Linked DNA regions of Tribolium castaneum. The protein of the gene in region 1 purifies or fractionates together with the protein of each later gene. This does not show direct contact. Links are inferred from orthologs where the notes say so. Each region holds a gene or a part of one and is shown on either strand. Other genes may lie near its edges.

Region 1 (3,429 bases):
AGCAGTATGAAGTTCAAGGACCCAGTTAAAGACGGCGAGGCGAAAATCAAAGCCGATTTTGACCAGTTGTACGAGGATATTCAACAAGCCTTCAGGAACTTGGAGGATTAAATTAGTTTTATTGTAGGCCGTATATTTAACCTCACTATAAAATTGCCGTCTTTCGATATTAATGTACAATATGTTTATAAATGAATTAGTTCATAGGTCTAAGTCCTATAGATTAGAGGTGAGGGTAAATTGCTAAATTTCGTCCCTTCATTCCAGTTACTTTTAAGGAATTTTTATTTTCGTGTTTCCGTGCAATTATCAGCTTTCCAGTATTATCGGGACCTTTTTTTCTTTACATTTTATTTTTTCGTTATTTACGCATATTTCGATGTTGTATATTTTATCATGTTATTCAAACGGCTACTTGTACAGTTATCTGTGTTAATATTAAGTGAACTAGCTAGAAAATAGCACAATAAATTGTTTTATTGTAAACAGAAATAAAAGCATTGTTGTTTCATATGCGTTTTTATTAAGTCTTAATTTTAATGCTCTTGGAAACACTTGCTTTAATCCCGGAAAGCTCCCCACCATATCTCGTCATTTCGGTTCGCGGCTCACGAACCTAAAAATAGCGCAATTAAATTTAAGAAAAAATACTAAAAGTTGACATACAGCTCCTCTCCTTCGTATTTTTGCTTTTCTAAACTTGTTCCTATGCTTCACTCTTGGATTTCTTTGTTCCTTCTTTCTGTGCGGCGTGAGACCCTTATTTTTGGCAATCTGGTAAGTTATAGCCCTCTTGCCAGGATCTACAACAAAACATGACTAAAAAATCGCAACAAACAAAAATCAAACCATTCTCGGGAACATTTGCCTCTTCGTCTTGCATTTGCTGTTCATTATCTGTTGCTTCTTTTTCGTCCACTTCTGGTTTAAATTGGACTTTTTTCCCTGCTGGTTTCTTGTCTTTCTTTTCCGTTTTGTTAACCAATGTGCTCAACACCTTTAATGTTTTTTTCGGAACTTCTTTTTCTTCTTCATTCAAGAGTAACTCAATTTGGGGCTTAATCACCTCTTCGAAAACTGGCGTCATTTGTGATAACAGTTGTCTGTATTGGTACAAACGTTTTATGATTGGGTGGTTTTGCACGTTAACTCTTGAGGCTTTCAACAGTAAATACATGTTGATGTTAACGCAATAACTACAATTTTGTGAATTAGGAAAAATAAAATAGAAAATTGAGAAAAATACTTTAAAATTAATTCGTGGTGAGTCACCACAAACTCCATTGCTGAACAGTTGGGGATTTGCCCCTTTTTAAATTTAACCAAAACTGGTTTGAGGAAGTCTCGAGCGACAACCATTTTTTCTTCAAAATCTTCAACCAGTCCGAAGAATTCTGGCGATTCCTTTTGCAGTATTTGTAATTTTTGCCTTTTACTTAATTTGGAAATGTCGCTTTTGATCAATTCTTCCGACACTTGTTTATCGTCCTCAATGACCTATCCACGATTTAGTAAAAAATCAAAAAATTTAAACCCTACCTTTTTGGTGGGCACATCCAAGCAAAAATCATCATCGTCTAGCTGTTCAGCCAACTGTTTTTGTAAATTCCTTGCTTCCTCTTCCTCCAATTCGGCCAAGTGGGCATCCTTACCTTGGAAGCCCCCATAGTCAGGGTCTACGTAGTCTGTTGAATAAAACTTCCTCTTGTCTTTGCCCCAGGCCCTAATATCAGGCAAATCGTCTTGGTCCTCTTGCTCCTCAACGTCACTCAGTGCAATATCACTTTGGTCATCGTCATCGTCAGTGCCAGAACCCACCCCAAACACTTCCCCCTCACTGTCTGAGTCTTTAGATTGTTTGTTTCGCACTTTCTTCAGAAGGATTTTCTCGTTTTCGGTATAATCCTCGTCAGAATCTGTAGGGTTGTAGTCACTTTCATTTTCGTTAAATCTAGAAAAAGGAGTTATAAGTGTTACAAAAAAATAATGTAACACCACCTTATATGAGACATGCTTTCACAAGACTTCAAACTTGTCCACATGCAAAAAGTGAGGTTGTGTAACGTAATGACGGGGCGGGAGAATCAAAAACCCTAAACAAAAATAATTATCGCAACAAAAAATCAATTTTGTCTGTTTTTGTTGTGAAAATATTAAAGTAGATTCATTTATATGGCGATGAGCTATTAAAAAATTGTTAATTTTTTAGGAGCATAAAATTAAAGTGAGCGCGTCCTTGGGTTAGCGCAACGCGCGTTGACAGATGTGTGAAATGTGATGGCATTTTTATTTCTTGTAACCGCCTCTTAATTATTGTTATTTTCGGTTGATTACACAAGTTTTAAACATAAAAACCATGTGGCATGAGGCAAGACGACAAGAACGCAAAATTCGTGGCATGTTGGTGGACTATCGGCGAAGGGCAGAACGACGCCGTGATTTCTACGAAAAAATCGTATTGTTCCCTCATTTCCTATCCAATTTAATCTACTGTTGTTTTATAGAAAGCCGACCCAACTCAGTTTTTACAAATCCACGGAAGACAATGCAAGATTCACTTGGACCCCTCCATCGCAGCTGCGGCAGACAGTGCTTCGGCAATGTGAGCCCCTATATTACACTAAATGGGCGACAATCAATTTGTTACAGGATGCCGTGGCAAGGACAAGCTGATAATTTAATTGACCGTTTTGATGTAAGAGCACATTTAGATTTTATCCCCCCTGTTAAGAAGGAAGAAGAGGAGGAATTGACGTTTGAAGAACGGCAAATTAATTACGAACGGTACCGGATTATTGCCCAAAACTCGTTCCTTAGCATCAATGAGGAGAAGTTTTTGAAACAATTGCATCTGGAGGAGCAGTTTGGCTACACTGAGTCCAAGTCAAAGAAGGAGCAAAGGACTGGAGGTGCTAGTATTGGGTTTAACTACGAGGACAACACTGGTGGGTTTTAAACGCTGTTGGGGTAAAATCGAGTCGGAATTTTTAGCACAAACTTTGGCCCCTGACTACCACAATGATGAAGAATCAGACGGCAATTCTGATTCTGATTTGGACGTTGATTTGTCCATTAATGTTTCAAAAATGGATTCGGTTCAAGCACACGAAATGAATCGCCACGGCAGAAACTTTGGGATGAGCTCAAATGATTTTTATTCGTTTCTTACAAATGATCTTGAAGAGGCGGAAAGCTTCAGACTTGCCAAAGAAGAAGAGCATGAAAAAGCCTTGTTTTCAGGACGAAAATCGCGAAGGGAGCGCCGGTATTTATCCACAATTAGCTGTATTTTTTATCTAATTTTTTTGATAGAGCACATAGGGAAAAACGTCTGGCTAATAGGGTGATAAGTCCTCCAAGTTACGCCGCACGGACATCACCTACTTACCCTTCGTTTCGGAAAAGTAAATCGCCTTCGAAATCACCGAC
Region 2 (2,841 bases), on another chromosome or scaffold:
CATTAATTGTAGTAAATGCAAAAAAGCTTGTATTTTTTTAACATTTTGAGTTCGTTTAGCGTTTGTGTCCTTTATTATTTTAATTATATAACGAATGAACTGGTTATTGAACTAGTAATTTTATACAGTTACTTGCTGTCTTTTCCGAGCTTGATTTTCGTACCTTTCGGGGCTTAATCCCGTTTCTAATAATGGTGACTATACGAGGCCGAACACAATCTGGAGGTATAATTCTTGGAGTGTGTGTAAGTGAGTTATTAAATTTCGTATTGGACAGTTTTTTTGATCGCAAAGTGTCGGTTTTCGTGTATTCGATTCGTTTGAACATCTCGCCTTTCCCACTACAGACGTACTCCTTACCGTCCTCTAAATCGTCCAAACTACAAACCTGGGCGAAAAAATTATTTATGGTGTCTTGATATCTGATCGGTTAATACTTTTTTGCCTTCCATTGAGTAGATGTTGCGCACACCGCTGGGGAGAGTAACATTCTTAGTCAGAATGTTCGTCAGTTCGGTCGTCAGACTGTCAAAAGACCTGTACCGTTCGGGGGCCACTGGTATGACAACTCCGTTAAAAAACTTATTCCCGTTATGGTAAAATCGGATTCTTTTCGCTTTCTGCGTCCGCGACGTCGACGAGGGCCTGCTTTTACTCAAATTTAGCTCTTCAATGCCGTTATCGATGATTTCAAAGTCGGACTGTATGCTGTTACAACTGGTCGAGGAGACGCTTCGGGAGCCGCTGATGTTGTTCTTCGACATTTTGCCAAGTGGGATCGTCACAAGGGGCGTGAAATCATCGTAACATCGTTGGTGTTTAATCAATGGGGCTGTTTTTAACCAAAACTACAAACTGGTACCGCCTATTTGCCAGCTGTCACCGAAACTACACCAAACATCAACTCCACAGATCCCCAAACCACTCTTTAGCGATTTTCAAGGTACACTTCACACACAACACAATCAAACTATAATCTCATTATGAAAAAATTAGATTTTGTGCTAAACTAACTGTTTTTACGGTTAAAAAGGTAATAACCTCTTTTCGGCAAGTGGGAGGGATGCTTGTTACGCATGGCAGCCAACCCCACGAAAATCACAGCTAAATTAAACGAAACGTAATTTCACAAACCGGACCTTATCACACGTTGGACACGGCCACAATCACAGATTGTTTAACAAACTGATTAAAAATAGCCCGCGTGAGTCAACAATTAATCAACAAATTAAATATTTTGGCCGGCGGAGTTGGCACACATGAGTGTCACCTTGACTGATCACAATTTTCAAAAATGGTCCGGAAATTAAAATTTCACGAACAAAAACTCCTGAAAAAAGTTGACTTCATATCGTGGGAAGTCGACAATAATTTGCACGAAGTGCGAGTGCTCAAAAAGTACCACATTCAGAAACGCGAGGATTATACAAAGTGAGGTTAGGTCGGTTTTGACATTTGTTTTATTTTATTTTGTAGTTACAACAAATTGGCCCGTAATATTAGAGAACTGGCCCGCAAAATTAAAGAAGTGGACGCTAAGGACCCCTTCCGGACTGAGAAAAGTGCCCAATTGTTGGAAAAACTGTAAGTTGGAACGTTGTCAAAAGTGAGGTTATGTTTTTTATTTTTAGGTATTTAATGGGGTTAATACCGACAAGGTGGGACTTAAGTCTGGCCGAGAAAGTGACAGCTTCGTGCTTTTGTCGGCGGCGACTGGCCGTTGTAATGGTTAGAAGTAAGTCGTTGTTATTGTTAGAATTTTGCCCCAAATTAATTTCTAGATAAAATGGCTGAAAATATTAAGGGGGCTACTAAATTAATTGAACAGGGGCATGTCAGGGTTGGGCCCGAGTTGGTCAAAGACCCAGCATTACTTGTAACTAGGACTTTGGAAGATTTTGTAACGTGGGTCGATAATTCCAAGATTAAACAACATGTGCTTGAATATAACGGAATGGTAAATTTTTTAAATAATGTAGAACGTGGTTTTTACCATTTTTTTTCCAGAGAGATGATTTCGTGTTGTGATAACATTTTCCTTATTAATTTTAAGTGTAGGTGGCAACACTGTCAACTAAATTTAAATTTGGTTACTCAGTTGGTTTGGTAAAACGAAACACCAAGTCCTTATAAATTTTTATTGTTTTTCCAAAACATACAGGAATTGTAAATCATTATGCCATACATGAGTGTATCAAAAATAAACAAAACCCAATTCTAAATCTTGAAAACTACAATTAAGATGATTACCAACTGTTGATACATTTAAGCAGAAGTTGTTCCAAAAGGTAGACTTTTCAATGTCTTTCTAATAATAATTCAACAAAGAAAGTGAAACAAACATTCGTTATTCGTGTTTTTCTCGTCATCTCTAATTTGTCAACATTCGTTTCCTGCACCAAAGATAACACTAGTTATTCCGCATACGCTATGCAATACTTGTGAAGCCTCAAAATTTGTACAACACACAAAATATCCAAATAAGCGCTTTTTCCGCCATTTATGGTTACTTTTTTGACCTAGCTGAGTGGCGTCTCCAACGGTAATTTTACTAAATGATTTGTCAACACTCCATAGTATACACACCAAGTCCTTGTATAGAGGTGGTTCCAAATCTGGTGGCGAACTGTCAGTGACATAAAAGTCTCTTGCACTCACTTGGTTAAGATAATGAAATACATAGACGTGCATTTTTTTCACTAAAATTTACCCAGTTGTTATTTTAACATTAATAAATTTTGAGAACGAAGATACATAAAAAAATTACTATTACTGTTAATAATCTGATCATTATTCTTCATCTTACGGATCTCATTATATTTTTTTTAAGACTATCAGTGG

What was found. Proteins that work in one complex are often made in the same cells at the same time.
Region 2: the proteins of Sas10 (region 1) and U3 small nucleolar ribonucleoprotein protein IMP3 purify together in Homo sapiens (affinity purification with mass spectrometry; 3 studies listed by BioGRID and IntAct, with this or other methods). This does not show direct contact. The link is inferred for Tribolium castaneum from reciprocal best matches to the Homo sapiens genes UTP3 and IMP3.

What each region holds. Positions count from the first base shown.
Region 1 is NC_087402.1:9,104,564-9,107,992, forward strand, and holds Sas10 (something about silencing protein 10), read right to left. Parts: upstream 2,155-3,429; 5' UTR 2,043-2,154; coding exon 1,999-2,042; intron 1,952-1,998; coding exon 1,540-1,951; intron 1,498-1,539; coding exon 1,247-1,497; intron 1,197-1,246; coding exon 850-1,196; intron 804-849; coding exon 667-803; intron 617-666; coding exon 524-616; 3' UTR 501-523; downstream 1-500. Other genes in the region: V-type proton ATPase catalytic subunit A, read left to right, coding at 1-111; CLK4-associating serine/arginine rich protein, read left to right, coding at 2,357-2,455, 2,505-2,602, 2,650-2,945, 2,992-3,265, 3,313-3,429. UniProt on the Homo sapiens protein: Essential for gene silencing: has a role in the structure of silenced chromatin. Plays a role in the developing brain. Part of the small subunit (SSU) processome, first precursor of the small eukaryotic ribosomal subunit.
Region 2 is NC_087400.1:10,480,881-10,483,721, forward strand, and holds U3 small nucleolar ribonucleoprotein protein IMP3, read left to right. Parts: upstream 1-1,226; 5' UTR 1,227-1,294; coding exon 1,295-1,431; intron 1,432-1,476; coding exon 1,477-1,584; intron 1,585-1,631; coding exon 1,632-1,735; intron 1,736-1,781; coding exon 1,782-1,957; intron 1,958-2,007; coding exon 2,008-2,028; 3' UTR 2,029-2,341; downstream 2,342-2,841. Other genes in the region: serine/threonine-protein kinase GL21140, read right to left, coding at 164-388, 438-764. UniProt on the Homo sapiens protein: Component of the 60-80S U3 small nucleolar ribonucleoprotein (U3 snoRNP). Required for the early cleavages during pre-18S ribosomal RNA processing. Part of the small subunit (SSU) processome, first precursor of the small eukaryotic ribosomal subunit.